3 linked regions of the Macaca fascicularis genome follow. The protein of the gene in region 2 purifies or fractionates together with the protein of the main gene of each other region. This does not show direct contact. Links are inferred from orthologs where the notes say so. Each region holds a gene or a part of one and is shown on either strand. Other genes may lie near its edges.

Evidence for each region. Proteins that work in one complex are often made in the same cells at the same time.
Region 1: the proteins of SF3B6 (region 2) and SNRPD1 fractionate together in Homo sapiens (co-fractionation; 3 studies listed by BioGRID and IntAct, with this or other methods). This does not show direct contact. The link is inferred for Macaca fascicularis from reciprocal best matches to the Homo sapiens genes SF3B6 and SNRPD1.
Region 3: the proteins of SF3B6 (region 2) and PRPF8 fractionate together in Homo sapiens (co-fractionation; 3 studies listed by BioGRID, with this or other methods). This does not show direct contact. The link is inferred for Macaca fascicularis from reciprocal best matches to the Homo sapiens genes SF3B6 and PRPF8.

Annotation. Positions count from the first base shown.
Region 1 is NC_088392.1:68,135,166-68,142,592, reverse strand, and holds part of SNRPD1 (small nuclear ribonucleoprotein Sm D1), read left to right. Parts: intron 1-2,690; coding exon 2,691-2,767; intron 2,768-4,354; coding exon 4,355-4,546; intron 4,547-7,427. UniProt on the Homo sapiens protein: Plays a role in pre-mRNA splicing as a core component of the spliceosomal U1, U2, U4 and U5 small nuclear ribonucleoproteins (snRNPs), the building blocks of the spliceosome.
Region 2 is NC_088387.1:98,206,161-98,213,048, forward strand, and holds the end of SF3B6 (splicing factor 3B subunit 6), read left to right. Parts: intron 1-3,433; coding exon 3,434-3,572; intron 3,573-3,735; coding exon 3,736-3,825; 3' UTR 3,826-4,011; downstream 4,012-6,888.
Region 3 is NC_088390.1:1,770,701-1,778,127, reverse strand, and holds the end of PRPF8 (pre-mRNA-processing-splicing factor 8), read left to right. Parts: intron 1-367; coding exon 368-561; intron 562-2,525; coding exon 2,526-2,765; intron 2,766-2,860; coding exon 2,861-3,002; intron 3,003-5,034; coding exon 5,035-5,175; intron 5,176-5,274; coding exon 5,275-5,414; intron 5,415-5,517; coding exon 5,518-5,720; intron 5,721-5,871; coding exon 5,872-6,026; 3' UTR 6,027-6,200; downstream 6,201-7,427. Other genes in the region: RILP (rab-interacting lysosomal protein), read left to right, coding at 7,084-7,305, 7,377-7,427. UniProt on the Homo sapiens protein: Plays a role in pre-mRNA splicing as core component of precatalytic, catalytic and postcatalytic spliceosomal complexes, both of the predominant U2-type spliceosome and the minor U12-type spliceosome.

The DNA.
Region 1 (7,427 bases), on a different chromosome or scaffold from region 2:
CAAGAGGCGGAGGTTGCAGTGAACCAAGATCATGCCACTGTGCTCCAGCCTCACCGACAGAGTGAGACTGTCTCAAAAAAAAAAAAAATAGAATTTTTTTAAAAGACAGAGTCTTTCCCTGCCACATAGGCTCCAGGGCAGTAACACAATCATGGCTTGTTGCAACCTCGAAGTCTGGGCTCAAGTGATCCTCCCACCTCAGATTCCAAGGAACTGGGACTACAGGCATGAACCAACATGCTCAGCTAATTTTTTTATTTTTATTTTTTTTTGTGATGGAGTCTTGCTCTGTCAACCAGTCTGTAGCACAATGGCACGATCTTGGCTCACTGCAACCTCTGCCTCCCAAGTTCAAGTGATACTCCTGCCTCAGCCTCCTGAGTAGCTGGGATTACAGCCCTGCACCACCACACCCGGCTAATTTTTTGTATTTTTAGCAGAAATGGGGTTTCACCATATTGGCCAAGCTGGTCTCCAACTCCTGACCTCATGATCCACCTACCTCGGCCTCCCAAAGTGCTGGGGTTACAGGCATGAGCTACCGTGCCCGACCAACTAAATTTTTTTGTTTTTATTTTTGTAGAGACAGGATCTTGCTCTGTTGACCAGGCAGGTCTCGAACTCCTGGCCTCAAGCAGTCATCCCACCTTGGCCTCTCAAAGTGGTGAAATTACAGGCATTAACCTCTGCACTGGCAATTGACAATATTTGTAAACCCTTCAACTTTTCTTCCTCTGCAAAATGTTATAAAAAGGGGAGAACAGAAATCTAGATGAAGTAAGAAGTGGATAGTTTGTTCATTATATATTATCAAGGCAACTGGCTATTCAGTTGGGGAAAGTAATAAAGACAGATTTGTGCCTTACACTGCATAAAAAAAGATCAATTCCAAGTAGATTAAAACTCTAAAAGTAGAAGAAAATAAGATACTATCTTTTACAATCTTGGCATAGAAAAAACCCTTTCCTAGGCAAATTATGTATCCCAGGAAGATGAACAGATTCAAAACATAAAAGTGAAAAAAGTTTGTGTGACTAAAGAAACCATAAACCACAAACTTGAATGACTGGCAAACAAGTAGAAAATAAAAGAAAAACTCAACCTAATTGAGAATATGTAAATAATGTGAACAGGTAATTCACGGAAGAAATAATTTTCCCATATTAATGAAAAGATATTCAGTCTCACAAGTAATTAAGGAAAAACAAATTCCCCCCGCCATCAAATTCACAAAAATTTGAAAGACTTAACAGCAACTTGTGTTGGTGAGGGTTTGCATAATTGGGTTTGTAATGGGAAAAAATTGAACCAAAGTAATGTCCATCAACAGGGAGGTAATAAATTTTGACATTTCCATATAGTGGAATACTTTTCAGTTCTTAGAATGTTATTTTGTTATTTTGTTATTTTTTTATTTTTTTGAGACGGAGTCTCGCTCTTTCGCCCAGGCTGGAGTGCAGTGGCGCGATCTCGGCTCACTGCAAGCTCCGCCTCCCGGGTTCACGCCATTCTCCTGCCTCAGCCTCCCGAGTAGCTGGGACTACAGGCGCCCACAACCGCGCCCGGCTAATTTTTTGTATTTTTAGTAGAGACGGGGTTTCACCGTGGTCTCGATCTCCTGACCTTGTGATCCGCCCGCCTCGGCCTCCCAAAGTGGTGGGATTACAGGCGTGAGCCACCGCGCCCGGCCTATTTTGTTATTTTGGCTTTTTTTTGAGATGGAGTCTTGCTCTGTCGCTCAGGCTGGAGTGCAGTGGAACAATCTCACTCACTGTAGCCTCTGCCTCCGGAGTTCCAAGTAGCTGGGATTACAGGCGTGCTCCATCATGCCTAGCTAATTTTTTTTTTTTTTTTTTTTTTTTGAGATGGAGTCTTGCTCTCTCCCCAGGCTGGAGTGCAGTGGTGCGATCTCAGCTCACTGCAGCCTCTGCCTCCCAGGTTTAAGCAATTCTCCTGCCTCAGCTTCCTGAGTAGCTGGGATTACAGGCGCATGCCATCCTGCCCAGCTGATCTTTGTGTTTTTATAGAGATGGGGTTTCACCATGTTGGCCAGGCTGGTCTTGGACTCCAGACCTCAGATGATCTGCCCACCTCGGTCTCCCTAAGCGCTGGGATTACAGGCATGAGCCACTGTACCCAGTCTCAGTTCTTAGAGTGTTTTGTATGTTGAAATGGGAATATGTCCAATATAAACTGCTGAACGAGAACTACAAGTTACAGATGTGAATAAAATATGACCCAATTTATGTAAAAAGAAATCTGTATATATGCTTATGAATGTGCATATAAAATGATCTGGAATAATATTCCTACATACCCACAGTGCAGGGGGTTAGGAAGGGAGATTTTTACTTTATGTATAAATATTGTAATAAACTTGTAATCTTTTTACCAACTGTAATTCTTTATTTATTTTTCATGATTTATGAGTCTGAGATCTTGTATGTCTGGATTTGAGGTTTGAGAATTAGAAACGTCCAAATGACAGTTCATTTTAGTATTGTTGTGTTCCTTCATAAAGGTTGAGGATATGATTCAGGAAAGCTGAAATTGTTAGCATATTCTTGATAGGAATTGATGCAGATAGCATCTACAAATTTTCAGCGTCTAGTTGTTTCATCTTTTTACCTTAATAAATGTGATTTTAAAGTGTTGCAGGTAAAAATTAATGGTTTTATTCCTATTTATAGATTTTTGATGAAATTGAGTCATGAAACTGTAACCATTGAATTGAAGAACGGAACACAGGTCCATGGAACAATCACAGGTACGGAGGTTGGACTACTTTTATAACATTTTTTTCTTCTCTTTTACCTGCTATCCAGAGTTTATTTTTTGATTGCTTAATGAACGTTATTGTAGTACAGATTCTTATTCTTTTGTCTGAATTATGTAATTGATTGATTGATTGATTTTTTTATTTATTTATTTTTTTTTGAGACGGAGTCTCGCTCTGTCGCCCAGGCTGGAGTGCAGTGGCGCGATCTTGGCTCACTGCAAGCTCCGCCTCCCGGGTTCACGCCATTCTCCTGCCTCAGCCTCCTGAGTAGCTGGGACTACAGGCGCCCACAACCGCGCCCGGCTAATTTTTTGTATTTTTAGTAGAGACGGGGTTTCACCGTGGTCTCGATCTCCTGACCTTGTGATCCGCCCGCCTCGGCCTCCCAAAGTGCTGGGATTACAGGCGTGAGCCACCGCGCCCGGCCTATTTTTTTTTTTAAACAGAGTTTTGCTGTGTCACCTGGGCTTGAGTGCAGTGTCATGATCTCGGCTCACTGTAACCTCCGCTGCCTGGGGTCAAGCAATTCTTTTGTCTCAGCCTCCCGAGTGGCTGGGACTACAGGTGCCTGCCAGCATGCCTGGGTACATTTTTTTTTTTTTTGAGACGGATTCTCACTCTGTTGCCCAGGCTGGAGTGCAGTGGCACAGTCTCAGCTCACTGCAACCTCCGCCTCCAGGGTCTGATTAATTTTGGTAGAGATGGGGTTTTGGTCTCGAACTTGTGACCTCATGATCCATCCGCCTCGGCCTCCCAGAGTGCTGGGATTTCAGGCGTGAGTCAAGTCACTGCACTGGCCTAATTTTTGTATTTTTAGTAGAGACGAGGTTTCAGCATGTCAGCCAGGCTGATCTTGAACTGGACCGGGCTGGTCAGAAGACCTCAGTTGATCCGCCCGCCTCGGCCTCCCAAAGTGCTGGGATTACAGGCGTGAGCCACCAAACCTGGCCTAAGTAGGTCTTTAGTTATCCCATTAGTTCAGGTATAATTTGGTAAAGGCTTCAGTATTCAGGTGTTTCAGCTATAATGTCATATAATCACCCTAAAAAATTGCTTTGTATTTTGTAAACTCTCATACTAAAAATAGTAGCTTAATGAGAAGAATAGGTGTTGCAGACTACTTAAAAGCCTGTGTAACTTTGTAATCAAAATATTCTTAACAAAAGTGGTAACAATTATTACATATAGAGAGAAGCAGAAACAAAGGTGAGGATAGTTTAGTGGAATGGGGATTATGAGAAAGTCACAAAGACAGTGAGAGAAACATTCAAGAAATACCTGTCAGATCAGTAGTGAGCCTGAAGCCCAGTCAGGGTTCTTCCATTGCTTGCTGCATTCATTTCTGTAAGCAAAACTTAGTGTGCTAGGAAAAATCTCTAGGAAGGAAACACTGCTGATTTATACTGACGTTATTCCCCCATTTACCAGTTGCATATGTGCTAAATTATGTCATAGAAAACTTGCACTGTAGCAGAACAGTATTCTTTTGTAGTCCAGTATTTACTGTGGCTCAGTAGATTAATTAGTTGCCTGACTTTTATCATACTAATAACTGCCCAATTATTTTCTTTTTAGGTGTGGATGTCAGCATGAATACACATCTTAAAGCTGTGAAAATGACCCTGAAGAACAGAGAACCTGTACAGCTGGAAACGCTGAGTATTCGAGGAAATAACATTCGGTATTTTATTCTACCAGACAGTTTACCTCTGGATACACTACTTGTGGATGTTGAACCTAAGGTGAAATCTAAGAAAAGGGAAGCTGGTAAGTTTGAAGGATTATAAAAATTTTTGTGAATGCTAATCCTAATCCACACTATTCATAATATAAATATTTGCAAACAACACAAGTGTCTTTGTTTTTTAATATTTCTTATAATGTGTATTATAACTCCTGGTGTTGCTATTAAAAACATTGATGCGGCTGGACACAGTGGCTCACGCCTGTAATCCTAGCACTTTGGGAGGCCGAGGCGGGCAGATCATCTGAGGCCAGGAGTTCCAGACCAGCCTGGTCAACATGGAGAAATCCCATCTCTACTAAAAATGCAAAAAAAAAATTGGGCGTGGTGGCGCATGCCTTTAGTCCCAGTTACTTGGGAGGCTGAGGCAGAAGAATCACTTGAACCCGGGAGGCGGAGGTTGCTGTGAGCCAAGATCATGCCACTGCACTCCGGCCTGGGCTACAGAGTGAGACTCTGTTTCAAAATAATAATAATAATATGGTTGTAATCCATAGCTTGTAAAACAATGATTTAACCTCTCATGCTGTGTATCATGCTGCTTTCCACTTTGCAAGAACCCCCTGTGGGTACCAAAATCTACAGATGCTCAAGTCCCTTTTCATAAAATGGTAATAGTGTTTCCATCTAACCTCTGCACATCCTTTTGTACACTTGTAATACCCAGTATAATGTAAATGCTTTGTAGATAGTTATATTGTATTGTTTAGGCGTTAATGACAAGAAAAAGTCTGACAACCATCATAGGCCTAAAGTTGGTTAAATCCATGGATGTGGAACCCATGGATATTGAAGGCTGACTGTATTTTCAAATCTGAGGACTTTTTGCCTTAATGTCTTTAGGGTTATTCTACTTTTACTACCTACCTACCTGTGAGGGAATTGATGATTGAAAGCCCCCTGCCTCGTATCATCTTACTCCACGCTGAGAAGTTATTCTTCCTTTACTAAATGTTACAGTTCCAAGTCTATTTTCTGATTTAAAATTTTGTTGAAAAAAATTTTTTTGTTTTCTTTTTTTTTTTTTTTTTTAGATGGAGTTTCACTCTTGTTACCCAAGCTGGAGTGCAGTGGCGCGATTTCAGCTCACTGCAACCTCCGCCTCCTGGGTTCTAACGATTCTTCTGTTTCAGCCTCCCAAGTAGCTGGGATTATAGGTGTGTGCCACCGCACCCAGCTAATTTTGTATTTTTAGTAGAGACGGGGTTTCATCGTGTTGATCAGGCTGGCCTCATACCCCTGACCTCAAGTGATTTACCTACCTCAGCCTTCCAGAGTGCTGGGATTACAGGCATGAGCCACCACGCCCAGCCGAAATCTTTTATCTACTATGTTTTCTCTGCTTTTCTTTGTTCTTCTGGGTACTTACCGTTTTTGTTCCTTTTCTATCATAAATACTATTTCAGAAGAAATTGGAGATAAGTGTGGTCAATTTGGTTCATTTTAACATGCGTCCTAGACTTACTGTTTTTGTGTGTACACATTTAAAATAATATAGTTTAAAATAACTGAAATTGGCTGGGCGCGGTGGCCCATGCCGTGAGCTGAGATCGTGCCATTGCACTCCAGCCTGTGCAACAAGAGTGAAACTCTGTCTCAAAAAAATAAATAAAATTATTTATGCCTGCCCCCCACCCACTCCCCACTTCTTAAAAAGTTGTTTTCTTAATTTATCTTTCTTTTATACAGATATGCACCACCAAATCTGGCTAATTTTTTAATTTTTTTGTAGAGACAGGGTCTCCCTGTGTTGTCCAGGCTAGTCTTGAACTCTTGGTCTCAAACAATCCTGCTGTGGCCTCTCAAAGTGCTGGGATTACAGGTGTGAGCCACCATCATACCTGGTCCATTTTCTTTTCTTTTTATTTCTTTTTTTTTTTTGAGACAGAGTCATGCTCTGTCGCCCAGGCCTCACTACAACCTCTGCCTCCCGGATTCAAGTAATTCTCCTGCCTCAGCCTCCCGAGTAGCTGGGATTACAGGTCCCCAGCCCTTTTATTGTTGTTGTTGTTGTTGTTTTTTACAACACTGCTCCAACTCTGTTTTTCCCCCCAATTTAACACTTCATTTTGAAATAATTTTAGACACAAAAAGTTGCAAAAATAGTACAAGGAATTCCCATACACTTTCACCAACATTGCCTAAATGTTAAAATTTCATGTAACTACAAAAAATAGAAATTTTATATTGATGCGACACTATTATATTATCTAGAGACCTTTTTCACGTTTCTCTGATTGTCCCTCTAATGTCCTTTTCCTGGTCCAAGATCCAATCCAGTACAACAGGTTGCATTTAGTTGTTCGTTTCCTTAGTTTCTTTTAATGTGTATCAGCTGGTTCCTTTTGTGACCTTAACACTTTGTAAGAGTACGGGCCAGTTATTTTGTGGAATGTCCCTTAATTAGCATCTTAAACTCACTGTTTATTGCTTGGAATGGTAAGACTAGAATCAGCGTGTACAAATTTCTAATGTGGCCAGGTGCGGTGGCTCACACCTGTAATCCCACCACTTTGGGAGACTGAGGCTGGAGGATTGCTTTGGTCCACGAGTTTGAAAGCAGCTTGGGCAACAAAGGGAGACCTCATCTCTACAAAAAATTAAAAAATTAGCCAGACCTGATGGCTTGTACCTGTAGTCCCCGCTACTCAGGAGGCTTAGGTGGGAGGATCACTTGAGCCCAGGAGTTCAAGACTGCAGTGAGGTGTGATTACACTGCAGGCTGGACTACAGAGAGAGACCTTGTATTTAAAAAAAAAAAAAAAAAAAGCAAAACATTTAGAATGTAACTGACTTCTGTGTCAGGATTTTCTAATATTCTTAGCTGTCTGAAGATGAAATAAGTTTATTTGGGTGATAAATTCCCTGTCACCATGATACTCAACTAGAGTTAGGATGACCCAG
Region 2 (6,888 bases):
GAATCAGTGAAGTCAGAGAATGTTTCAGAAAGCCAAAATGAAAGGACGGAATAAAGCAGGGGCATCTTAAGAAGAGTGCAGAGCAGCTCAGAACGTTTGTGCTTCTATTTTCCTTGTATCTGGAATGGTTTTCACCAGCTCATCTCATGCCTGGCTCCTTCTTATTCTTCGGGTCTCAGCTTCAATGTCACCTTTTCAGAGAGGTTTTCCCTGACCACCCTAGCTGAAGTAGCTCCCTGTTTCCCTATCTGTTACAGAGCTTTCTACTTCTTTTATGAAACACTTCTTTTTTTTTTTTTTTTTTTTTTTTTGAGATGGAGTTTCGCTCTTGTTGCCCAGGCTGGAGTACAATGGCACGATCTTGGTTCACTACAAACTCTGCCTCCCAGGTTCAAGTGGTTCTCCAGCCTCAGCCTCCCGAGTTACTGGGATTACAGGTACCCACCACCATTCCTGGCTAATTTTTGTATTTTAAGTAGAGATGGGGTTTCACCATGTTGGCCAGGCTGGTCTTGAACTCCTGACCTCAGGTGATCCTCCCACCTCGGCTTCCTAAAGTGCTGGGATTACAAGCATGAGCCACCATGCCAAGCTGAAACATTTCCTAAGATTTATAATTATTTCAGGGCCGGGCACAGTGGCTCACGCGTGTAATCCCAGCACTTTGGGAGGCCAAAGTGGGCAGATCACAAGGTCAGGAGTTTGAGACCAGCCTGACCAACATGGTGAAACCTCGTCTCTACTAAAAACACAAAAATTAGCTGGGTGTGGTGGCGCGCGTCTGTAATCCCAGCTACTCAGGAGGCTGAGGCAGGAGAATCGCTTGAACCCAGGAGGTGGAGGTTGCAGTGAGCCAAGATTGCGCCACTGCACTCCAGCCTGGGTGACAGAGTGAGATTCCGTCTCAAAAACAAACAAACAAAAAAGATTTATAATGATTTCATATTTATGTAATATCTTTCTACTGCCTGAATATAAGCTTGAAGGAAGGAAGGGATGATGCTTGTCTTTTTCACTATTGTATTTCTAGTGCCTGTCACAGAAAGAACATAGTCTATATGTGTTGAATAGGTTAATAGAAGTTTAGGGTACAGGAGCTTAGGTCTAAATTATAGATTGAGAAACAGCTGTTTTTCTGTTCCATTACTATAATCATGCTTTATTGTATACCTGGCACCTGGCACTAGGGTGACCAGCCTTCCCAGTTTTCCCAGTACTGAGAGATTTTCTGGGACACTGGACTTTTCAGTGCTAAAACCTGGACAGTCCCAATCAAATCAGGATGATTTGGTTTGACCCTACCTGGCATGTAGCAGACACTTGGTACTTTTTATTTTTTAAAACTCTTTCATACTTGTTACCTCTTTTGATTATTAAACCCACATGGAAGGTAGGGCACGTGATAGAGCCTGATGGCACTGGACAGGTGAAGCAGCCGAAGCTCAGAGAGGCTAAGTTACATGCTTAGGTGTTCTTATTCCTACTCTAAGATTTTAATGCCAGTCAAGAAAATTGCAGCACTTTGGGAGGCTGAGGCGGGTGGATCACTTGAGGCCAGGAGTTTGAGACCTGCCTGGCCAACATGGCAAAACCCCATCTCTACTAAAAATACAAAAATTAGTCGGGCATGGTGGCGCACGCCTGCACGAGAATTGCTTGACTCTGTCTCAAAAAAATAAGAAAATAATGTTAGCTCAGTGTCCAATACGTGGTAGGTACAAATACATGCCTTTAAAAGTTCAAATTATAGTATGGCTCTCAAGGTGTGAGGTTGATGATAATTAGGGCTGGGAAACTTAAGATGGAGAGTCTTTAAAGTGGGGTTAGTGTCTATCCCTGTTCTAGTTCCTAAGAAGATATGAGAGGAAGAAAGAGAGTTGCTTTGTTTTGTTTTGAGCTTCCTGGACAAAGTGAGTGTGAGAGAATTGATAGGAGAAAGTAGATCTCCACTTTTCAAAGGCATATTAGCATCTGCCTTATGCATGGCACTAAAGGAGTGAATGAAGTACACATAAGATCACCTTTGCTCTTAAGGAACTGAAAATCTTGTTAAGTTTTTAAAAGTCAAAAGTCTGAAAGTTGTTAAGACTTCCCAGAGCCTAAAGAACATTCTAAAACCCCTTGTCAGGCCCACACAACCTGACAAAGTGAGCACATTCATTGACAGTGGCACCCTCCAATCACCCGCAGTACCCTATACCTTTTCAATTTTACAGGAAGCACAAGCTTGAGCAGGGCCCAGACTATAGTCCTGTCCTAGATCAAGTCTAGGCAGCTACCTCCTCTTCCCATGGCTCCACTGCTTTTACTCAACCCAATGTAGGGACTGTGGCAGATGGAGAGTCAGCCCACAGTCTTAAACCTCATTCCACAGTAGTTGCACTGGGTAGTTGGAACACAGATGGAGGCAAGGGGGCCATCTTGTCACCCAGAGCCTGAACTGAGTGAGACCTCTACCCATTGTCTCCACTAACAGTCACATGGCCATCTGCTGCCTGCAGTTTAGTGTTCCATTGCTCCTCAAACCTCTCTACCTCTCCCAGAGGAAGTTGGTGAGGTGAAGGAAGGAAGTAGCCAGGAATACCTACACTAACAGCAACCCCGTATCCATGAGTAAAGTCAGCTTCCACTTCCAGCCACCGTCCAGCATTCTGCCCTGGCTCACAGATAACCCTGTCCACAAGCACACTTCCACTCCCATCTTCGCAGAAGCCTAGCCCTTCTCCTTAGCCACACAGCTGTAGCATGCATTAGCATTTGAGTTGTATTAAAAATGAATGTAGACCGTTTGTGTTGGCCCATGCCTGTAATTCCAACACCTTGGGAGGGTGAGGCAGGCGGATCATGTGAGGTCAGGAGTTTGAGACCAGCCTGGGGAACATGACAAAACCCTGTCTCTACTAAAAATACAAAAATTAGCTGGGCTTGGTGGCACATGCCTGCAGTCCCAGCTACTTGGGAGGCTGAGGCACAAGAATCACTTGAGAGGCAGAGGTTGCAATGAGCTGAGATCATGCCACTTGCACTCTAGCCTAGGCAACAGAGTGAGATTCTATCTAAAAAAAAACAAAAACAAAACAAAACAAAGACATCGTAGAGCCAGTCAGGGTGGCAAGAGCACTTGTAGTCCCCACAACTCGCGAGGCTGTTCTGTGTAGTAGCTATGTTCTTAGTATTCCTGATGTGACAGTCAGCTTGACCCATAGATATTTTACTTAAGATAAAAGCAAAAAGCAAAATTACCTAATTCAAGAAATTACAGGTTTATCCAGTATATCTATCCATGTTTATTTCCTCTAATGGTTTCAGGTTGATTTCAAAATACTTAACTAAAAACATATTTCAATTTACTGTTTTTAAAAGACAGTTCTGTAAGTCAACTATCAATGCTCGGTAAATGTATATCTTAATTAAATTTGATTTAACTCTCCAGGGGGAACACACCTGAAACTAGAGGAACAGCTTATGTGGTCTATGAGGACATCTTTGATGCCAAGAATGCATGTGATCACCTATCGGGATTCAATGTTTGTAACAGATACCTTGTGGTTTTGTACTATAATGCCAACAGGGTAAGTAAGTTCTCATTGTGTAGTGATCTCATTTGAGAATTAGTGTAGAACTGTACTGTGATGATATATGTCTACTGTGACTTTGTTTTTTGGCTAATGCTATTGATGAAATTCATTTGGCTATAGATTGGTAATTTAATTTTGGTGCTTACCACATTTCCAGGCATTTCAGAAGATGGACACAAAGAAAAAGGAGGAACAGTTGAAGCTTCTCAAGGAGAAATATGGCATCAACACAGATCCACCAAAATAAATGTTTTCTACATTTTCATTTTGGACTAAATCCCATGAATGACAATTTTCCACTTTTTTTTCCTTTTTAATTAATACTAAATATTGTGATTTCTAATTTGAGGTTCAACATGACCTACTTGAAACTTTGATACATATTAGAATACATTGTGTTAATAAACTTACAGCTTTTTGTGAAACACCTCAATCTTTTCTCTTGAACTTTCCCTTCCTGTTTGATACCAGGAAAAAACAGTCGAAGCTTATCAACAATTGTAGGTGCTCCTAGGGATTCTGTGCTTCTTGAGAACAGGACCTCTTAACGTAAATTCTTAATGCCTCCAGGGCCCAGTGCAATGCTTAGCCATCAAAGGAACTTGCTGTTTATTGAATGTCTATTAATAATTAAACCTTCATAACAACTCAGTGAAGATAGGTATTTGCATTTTGCAGGTGAGGAAACCAAAGCTCATGATGTTGGTTGAATGAATAAAATGCTAACATACAAAGCTGGTGTGATAACAACCAGTTATTAACCAAGCCTTTACATGTGAATAATGCTTGCTTTATAGTTAACAAAACACCTTTGTCAATATGGGTACCCTTGTCTTTAGAACAGAGGTCTGTTATAGAAATGGTCACTTAGATGATAGTACATTGTTAGAAACTTAGATTTGCCTCTTTAAATTTTTTAAAAAATTATTATGGGTACATAATGGTTGTCACATTGGTAGAAATTTGAGAGCAAGCTGCTTGGGTAGTGGTGTTGGTTGTTATATGTCTAAGATTGTATTTATGTAGCCTTTTCCTTTAGTTATTAAGCATCTGTATATATTTTGGACCTTAGTTCATAATATATCTTTACCATAAATAAAATACTTAATGTTCATTCTTATTATCATAAGTTCCCATGACATGGAAATAGTATGGTTATTACCCCATTCATCATCATGGCAGCTTAGGAGAATATAGCAATGATTTGCTTTTTATTGCTTAGGCATGGACCAAATGGGAAAACATGGACTAATTGTTTTGTGTGTAATTGGAACCTAAAATCAATTTGAAGGGTACATACACTGAATCATTTCAATGGACAAAGAGCATCAATTCTGCTTTTAATTGTATCTGAGTGTTTTTTGAAAGCAGTGTAAGAGAGTAGAGTCATTTCTAAGGGTGGGCAGATAAGAAAGGAGCCAGAGCTGTAATTTTCTTTTGAATGCTTTTATGAGTGCATTATTGGTTTTTGTAATGCATGTTGTGCCTTTAGGTAATGTAAAAATTTTCTAAAAGACTTTCTTGTAAGAGAAAAACTGAAATTAGACTTTAAAACTTAGAGTGTGATTTGTCTAAGTGGCAGGCTAGCTTGCCTCTGGTGTAGTTGTTTTAATAACAAGGAGAAATTCCTTCTATTAGCAATCATGACTAGTCCATCATTTGGATTGATATATGTTAGCTGAATTTCGTGACCTAAAGTTAAGACGTTTAAAACTTCCCTCTAATTTGGAAATTCCATATCCTGTCCCAATTAAGTTACAAGAACTTGCACTCAGTGGACAAACACTGACCCCCCACTCTGCACACAGTACTGCACCAAAATGCTGAGGATATAATTACGATCAGTCCTTTGCACAAGGCATCCAAAGCTCAGTTTTTCAAATGCTTTTAAGAGTGCAGCAGATGACTGTGTTTATATGTGCACACATGTGTGCCAGAGCTGCTTGACTTTCATCTAGGTTAAATTTTTGAGTTTCTAAGAAAAAATTTGTATGAATAGAGAATTCATTGACTGAAAGTTTGAAAACAACTGACGTGACCTTGATCTTATTTTTTTATTTTTTTTATTTTTGGAGACGGAGTCTGGCTCTGTCCCCCAGGCTGGAGTGCAGTGGCCGGATCTCAGCTCACTGCAAGCTCCGCCTCTCGGGTTTACGCCACTCTCCTGCCTCAGCCTCCCGAGTAGCTGGGACTACAGGCACCCGCCACCTCGCCCGGCTAGTTTTTTGTATTTTTAGTAGAGACAGGGTTTCACCCTCTTAGCCAGGATGGTCTCGATCTCCTGACCTCGTGATCCGCCCATCTGCCTCCCAAAGTGCTGGGATTACAGGCTTGAGCCACAGCGCCCGGCGACCTTGATCTTATTATTGCTCTTCTGTTTAACAACTTTAGTGGCTTTCACAGGCCAATGTCCAAACTCATTAGTATGCTGCATCATAATTTTCTGCATCATCTTTTAAAGCTCCAGTAAAATGGTTCATTTCCCAGTTTACCTGCAGTGCCTAGTCTGTCCTCTCCAGGTGCTAGCCAGTATGTGTTTGCACTTTTGGGGGAGTTCTCTTAGTGGGTGTCTTCTTTGACCCACCTCAGCTATAAATACTCTAGACCAAGATATTTTATATACCCCATAGTGGGCACCTGAAATAGTCCTTGATGCCATATTTAGTTATTGGTGTCACAGGAGAAAATATGCATATGTCTTTTATGCAGGCTGACTTCTAAGAAATTATTGTAGGCATTTGTGTCATCAAAGAAAGCCAGGAACCAAGACATTCTGAAGGAAATACCTTCTGGCTGGTCTAGTCCCACAGTAGAGGTGAGCACAGAGACTTTGGGTGACTACAATGCAAGGCAGTTCCTTTCTCTTATTTTGTGCGTCCTAAACCTCTGCTTCTTCATTAGCTCCTCCACCCTCAGCAAAGGAATACAGCCAGGATTTCTTGGAGACAAAAAAGGTAGATCATGTAGCCAAGATGATATGGCCTCATAGCATGTATATGACATCATGTGACATGTATCAGTGGGTCTATGAGGAACACTAGCAGTACCTGTTACCAGCCCCTCCCTCCTCAATCTTGAAACAATTCCAAGTTGTCACTGATAGAAAACCCTATTGGCTGAGTGCAGTGATTTAAACCCGTAATCCCAACACTTTGGGAGGCTGAGGAGAGAAGATAGCTTGAGGCCAGGAGTTCGAGACCAGCCTGGGCAACATAGTGAGATTCCCCCATCTCTATTTTTTTTTTAATAATAAATAAATGCTTAAAAAAAAAAAAAAGAATAATCCCAACTATGGCCAGGAGTTTTTCTC
Region 3 (7,427 bases), on a different chromosome or scaffold from region 2:
ACGCCTGTAATCCCAATACTTTGGGAGGCCGAGGTGGGTGGATCACAAGGTCAGGAGATTGAGACCATCCTGGCTAACAGGGTGAAACTCCATCTCTATTAAAAATACAAAAAATTAGCCAGGCGTGCTGGCAGGTGCCTGTAATCCCAGCTACTCCAAAGGCTGAGGCAAGAGAATGGCATGAACCCGGGAGATGGAGCTTGCAGTGAGCTGAGATTGCGCCACTGCACCCCAGCCTGAGCGACAGAGCGAGACTCTGTCTCAAAAAAAAAAAAAAAAAAAATTTTTGGGTTTCATGAAAGGTTAGAATTAAAGTGGGAGAGCCTCAAGCAGCTGACCTACCTCACTCTTCCAAATCTTTTCCTAGGCCTTCTCCCGTCTCATCCTGATTCTGCGTGCCCTACATGTAAACAATGACCGGGCAAAAGTGATCCTGAAGCCAGACAAGACTACTATTACAGAACCACACCACATCTGGCCCACTCTGACTGATGAAGAGTGGATCAAGGTCGAGGTGCAGCTCAAGGATCTGATCTTGGCTGACTACGGCAAGAAAAACAAGTGAGCAGTGCTGGTGGGGAGACAGATAGGAGGTCTGTATATGGTTTTCTGGGGTTTGGAAGCATTTAGGCTTACAAGTTTCTCAAGAAGGCCAGGTACAGTGGCGCATGCCTGTAATCCCAGCACTTTGGGAGGCTGAGGTGGGTAGATCATTTGAGGTCAGGAGTTTGAAACCATCCTGGCCAACATGGTAAAACCCCGTCTCTACTAAAAATACAAAAATTAGCCAGGTGTGGTGGCACTCGCCTATGATCCCAGCTACTTGGGAGGCTGAGGCAGGAAAATTGCTTGAACCTTGAGGGCGGATGTTGCAGTGAGCCAAGATTGCGCCACTGCACTCCAGCCTGGGTGACAAGAGTGAGACTCTGTCTCAAAAAAAAAAAGAAAAGGGCCAGGCGCGGTGGCTCAAGCCTGTAATCCCAGCACTTTGGGAGGCCGAGACGGGCGGATCACGAGGTCAGGAGATCGAGACCATCCTGGCTAACACGGTGAAACCCCATCTCTACTAAAAAATACAAAAAACTAGCCGGGCGAAGTGGCGGGCGCCTGTGGTCCCAGCTACTCGGGAGGCTGAGGCAGGAGAATGGCGTAAACCCGGGAGGCAGAGCTTGCAGTGAGCTGAGATCCGGCCACTGCACTCTAGCCTGGGCGACAGAGCCAGACTCAGTCTCAAAAAAAAAAAAAAAAAAAAAAAGAAAAGTTTATCAATAAATTATCTTGTCTTGGCCGGGCTTGAGTGCTCATGCTAGTAATACCAGCACTTTGGGAGGCCGAGGTGGGAGGATTGCATGAGCCAGGAGTTGAAACCAGCCTGATCAACAAAAGAGACTGACCCTATCTCTACAAAAGAAAAAATTTAAAACAGGTGTGGTGGTGCACGCCTGTAGTGCCAGCTTCATGGAGGCTGAGGCAAGAGGCTTGCTTGAGCCCGGGAGTTTGAAGCTGCAGTGAGCCATGATTATGCCACTGTACTCCCGCCTGAGTGACAGAGCAAGACCCTATCTTGAAAACAAGGAAAGAAATTATCTGACAGTCTCATAGAAGAGAGATACAGCAGTGTCTTTCTTTTTGTTTGTTTGTTTTTTTTGTTTTTTTTTGAGACGGCGTCTCGCTCTGTCGCCCAGGCTGGAGTGCAGTGGCCAGATCTCGGCTCACTGCAGGCTCCGCCTCCCGGGTTCACGCCATTCTCCTGTCTCAGCCTCCCGAGTAGCTGGGAGTACAGGCGCCGCCACCTCGCCCGGCTAATGTTTTTGTATTTTTAGTAGTGATGGGGTTTCACTGTGTTAGCCAGGATGGTCTCGATCTCCTGACCTCGTGATCCGCCCGCCTCAGCCTCCCAAAGTGCTGGGATTACAGGCTTGAGCCACCGCGCCCGGCCAGTGTCTTTCAATAGTATGAGAAGCGTCTGTGTTTTAGGGCTTCATTCTGACTCTTGGCCGTTGTTTCTCACTGTTGCCATTTTGAACAGGGCATTTCTTTACTGTCCATACATGGTAAGAAGTTTGAACATCCAAGACCCTAAGTATCTGACACTGCTACCAACACACACACACACACACACCTTCCTCTCCTCGTCTCCCTCCCTGTCATCGTGGCAACCCAAACTATTCATAGGGTGACTGACAATACCACCTCTGATTAAGAACCAGTATTGTAGGGTTTCTGGGGTTTCCATTTCTGAGAAGTGTTCCGTGCCAGAGCATTGTTTTGGTCAGGGAAGCGTGGGGTGTATGGATGCTAAACAGTGGCAAGGTGCACACGCCGTGTGCTGTCCCGCTTGGATCTGACGAATCTTGGAAGTGTTAGTACGCCTCCGTTTCACACTTCCTGTAGAAGCAGCTCTTGTGGATTGTCTGGGGCGTGAGTATAGGCTGCCCTGTCCTACCAAGTTACACCCTTTCCATTGAGGCAGAAGTGACCAAGGGGAAGGGATCCTTTTAATATAACCCACACCGTCCCCACAGTGTGAATGTGGCATCACTGACCCAATCGGAAATTCGAGACATCATCCTGGGTATGGAGATCTCGGCACCGTCACAGCAGCGGCAGCAGATTGCTGAGATCGAGAAGCAGACCAAGGAACAGTCGCAGCTCACGGCAACACAGACTCGCACTGTCAACAAGCATGGCGATGAGATCATCACCTCCACCACCAGCAACTATGAGACCCAGACTTTCTCATCCAAGACTGAGTGGAGGGTCAGGTACTGTGAGGGGCAAGAGGGTGGGGATGGAAAGGCCGGCTGCACTACCTAAGGTGCTGGGCTGAGCGATGCTGACACTCCCTACACGTTTTTAGGGCCATCTCTGCTGCCAACCTGCACCTAAGGACCAATCACATCTATGTTTCATCTGACGACATCAAGGAGACTGGCTACACCTACATCCTTCCCAAGAATGTGCTTAAGAAGTTCATCTGCATATCTGACCTTCGGGCCCAAGTGAGTAAGTGGACTCAGGCCACAGTGTGTGCCCAACACATTTTGTGCCTAAAACACCGACCTGAGATTGTCTAGAACTTGAGATGCTGGTTTCAAGATTCATGGATGAGTAATTATGCAAGGATAGCCAAAACAACGAGGCGGGTTTTGGCCCCATGAGATAGCAAAAGCTGTGGCAGCTGAGAGAAGGTAGTAAATGTAGTATTAACCTGATAGTATTTGGAAGAGAATAGATATGGTCAGAAACAAATTCCTGACCAGATGTGCATGGTGGTTCACGCCTGTAATCCCAACACTAGGCTGGGCACAGTGGCTAATGCCTGTAATCCCAGCACTTTGGGAGGCCGAGGTGGTGGATCACCTGAGGTCAGGAGCTCAAGACCAGCCTGACCAATATGGTGAAACCCCGTCTCTACTAAAAATGCAAAAAATTAGCCAGGCATGGTGGCATGCGCCTGTAGTTGCAGCTACTAGGGAGGCTGAGACAGGAGAATTGCTTGAACCCAGGTGGGGGAGATTGCAGTGAGCCAAGATCGCGTCACTGCACTCCAGTCTAGGCAACAGAGGAAGACTCCATCTAAAAAAACAAAACAAAAAACCTTTGCCTGTAGTCCCATCTACTCAGGAGGCTGAGGTTGCTTGAACCAAAGCAGTGAGCTTTGATGACCACTGCACTCCAGGCGGGGCGCACTGGCTCATGACTAATCCCAGCATTGTGGGAGGCTGAAGTGGGCAGATCTTTTGAGCCCAGGAGTTCGAGACCAGCCTGGGCAACATGACGAAATGCTGTCTCTACAAAAAAATTAAGAAACTAGCTAGGCATGGTGGCCCACACCTGTAATCTCAGCTACTCAGGAGCCTGAGGTGGGAAGATCACCTGATCCTGGAGAGTGGTGAGTGTAGTGAGCTGAGATCATGTCACTGCATGCTAACCTGGGTGACAGAGTGATACCCTGCTTCAAAAAAGAAAAAAGATGCATAACTTTACTAGTGTATCAGGGATATTCATAGTTTATAAAAGATCATTTTGGGCCGAGGCCGGTGGATCACTTGAGGTCAGGAGTTCAAGACCAGCGTGGCCAACATGGCAGAACCCTGTCTCTATGAAATATATGAAAATTAGTGGGGCGTGGTGGCATGTGCCTGTAGTCCCAGCTACTCAGGAGGCTGACGCAGAATTGCTTGAACCCAGGAGGTGGAGGTTGTAGTGAGCTGAGATCACACCACTGCGCTCCAGCCTTGCCAACAGAGTGAGACTCCATCTCAAAAAAACCCACTATTGCCGGGCGCGGTGGCTCAAGCCTGTAATCCCAGCACTTTGGGAGGCCGAGACGGGTGGATCACGAGGTCAGGAGATCGAGACCATCCTGGCTAATACAGTGAAACCCCGTCTCTACTAAAAATACAAAAAATTAGCTGGGCGTGGTGGCGGCGCCTGTAGTCCCAGCTACTCGGGAGGCTGAGGCAGGAGAATGGCGGGAACCCGGGAGGTGGAGCTTGCAGTGAGCCGAGATCGCGCCACTGCACTCCAGCCTGGGCGACAGAGCGAGACTCCGCCTCAAAAAAAAAAAACCCACTATTAGTGGCTGTCAGGTTGGCAAATTTGAGAAGACTGTTAATATCCTGTGTGGGTGAGTTTATAGTAAACAGATCCTCTTACTTGGTGATAATGTAAAATTTAAAATAGCACCAAGTGCTGGATTTCCAGATGTTCTCAGTTTGTGAAAATACACTGAGCTGGAGGTTTGTATGCTCATTTGCTTATGAATGCTATCCTTAATAATCAGCTGGGGAGCTTGTGAGCAGTGCAGATTCCTGGACCCCACGCAGGAGGTCCTGATGTGGGAAGTCTGAAATGAGGTCCATGTTTAACATTTTGAACAAGCACCGCAGCTGATTCTGATACAGGGGTTCTGATCATGTTTTAAGAAACTGTCCTCGTTCTTGGGGGAAGGAAGGAAAACAGGGCTGGCAGCTCCACCTCTGAGCTGGTACTAAGAAGAGTTTTGGTTCCTGACCCCTTTGTCTCCAGATTGCAGGATACCTGTATGGGGTGAGCCCACCAGATAACCCCCAGGTGAAGGAGATACGCTGCATCGTGATGGTGCCACAGTGGGGCACTCACCAGACCGTGCACCTGCCTGGCCAGCTGCCCCAGCATGAGTACCTCAAGGTAATGGAAAGTGATGGAGCCTGGGAATGTGGAAAAGCTGGTGCGATTCCTGTCTGCAGATGGGATTCTGAAGAGCTCTGTACTCCTCTTTACCTATAGGAGATGGAACCCTTAGGTTGGATCCACACTCAGCCCAATGAGTCCCCGCAATTATCACCCCAGGATGTCACCACCCATGCCAAGATCATGGCTGACAACCCATCTTGGGATGGCGAGAAGACCATTATCATCACGTGCAGGTGGGCCTGGGCTCCTTGGGAGGAAGTATGGTGGGGCAGGGATTGCAGGCCAGGGCCCAGAATAGTGACCTGAGCTGTTACTCCGTCCTCGTCCCTCCCCCAGCTTCACACCAGGCTCCTGTACACTGACGGCCTACAAGCTGACCCCCAGCGGCTACGAATGGGGCCGCCAGAACACAGACAAGGGCAACAACCCCAAGGGCTACCTGCCTTCACACTATGAGAGGGTCCAGATGTTGCTGTCGGACCGCTTCCTTGGCTTCTTCATGGTCCCTGCCCAGTCCTCGTGGAACTACAACTTTATGGGTAAGTGGGAGGAGCCTGGGGACGTGGGGATAGCAGTAGTGATAAGGTGAGGCCATCGCCTGTCACACTTGGGGCCTGGCTGGCTTGGAGGTGGTGCCGGCTGCATGAGGCGGGAGCCCTGTTGACGCTGGCTGTTTCCTTCTCCCCGAAGGTGTTCGGCATGACCCCAACATGAAATACGAGCTGCAGCTGGCGAACCCCAAAGAGTTCTACCACGAGGTGCACAGGCCTTCCCACTTCCTCAACTTCGCCCTCCTGCAGGAGGGGGAGGTTTACTCTGCGGACCGGGAGGACCTCTATGCCTAGCTGTTTCCCTGCCTCCAGCTTCAGCCTCCTGAGGCCGGAGCCTCAGCCCCTCCAGACAGGCCGCTGACATTCAGCAGCTTGGCCTCTCCCTCTGTCTGTGCTTGTTGTGTTGTTGACCTCCTGATGGCTTGTCATCCTGAATAAAATATAATAATAAATTTTGTATAAATAGGAGTTCAGGGGCTGTTTGTTTTTTTTCCCCCCGAACCCAAATTCTGGATTTAGGTCTAACAGGAGAAGGAAACAGCCAAAGTTAACAGGGCTCCTGCCTCATGCAGCCTGCGCCGCCTCCAAGCCAGCCCCAGGTGTGACTGGACTGGAGCGGTTTACAGCAAGATGCTGGGCTCGCTGTGAAGGGGGAGTATGAGGCCACCTTCCTATTCAGGGCTTTGGGGTAGATAGCCCCTGGACTCAGTGGAGACCTGAGGCGGGGCTGGGCTTTCACACTCCGCTGCCTTGACCACATTTGCTGCTTTCTCTACAAAACAGTACTTGGAAGCCCTCGCCTCCTTTCCACAGTTCTGGGAGCAGTTGACCTTTCCCGGTCTAGGAACTCTGGCTTGCGCTGAGCGGCTATGGTGTCCAGCCCAGCCCTTTAAGCTTTCTGTGTCACTCCTGGTCAGGAAAACAAGCACACAGGCAGACAGCTGGTGTACAGCCGGGCGGAGGCCAGTGACTGGCTGCCTACCTGTCACCTCTCGCCTGGAGTGCCCCGCTGCCAAGTTGGCCCCATGACTCCACACACGGGGCGGAGCCTGGACTGGGCCTGTGGGGAGGGCTCCACTAAAGTGACCACTTGCAGCCCTGAGCCTCAGCTCTTGGACGTCTGGCTGGAAGTTGGCTGTCCTGTTTCCTGTGACCTTGGGCATGGAAGGGACAGGGCCCAGGGGACCTAGGACACTGTCTCCCTTCCCCACGCCTTCTCCCTCGTTCCTCCCCACCCTTCTCGCTTCTACCCCGCCCACACAGCCCTAAAGGCTTCCTGGGGCGGAACTGTTTGGCTTTTCCCCGTCTCAGTTGAGGGTGGAGGGGTCGCAGCCCTAAGCCTTTGGGGGACATGGAGCCCAGAAGGGCAGTGGCGCCTGGCTGGGGGTCTCGGGAGACCGCGGGGTCGGGAACGGCCGCGGAGCTTGTGTACCATCTAGCCGGGGCCCTGGGCACTGAGCTGCAGGAGCTGGCGCGCCGTTTCGGGCCGGAGGCGGCGGCAGGGCTGGTGCCGCTAGTGGTGCGGGCGCTGGAGCTCTTGGAACAGGCTGCCGTGGGGCCCGCCCCAGACTCGGTGAGTCACGGCGCTCCCCTCGCCACCCGCGGGGCCGGCAGGGCCGAAGCCTGAGACCCGGGTCTCCCCAGCTGCAGGTGTCGGCGCAGCAGGCGGAGCAGGAGCTGCGGCGGCTGCGGGAG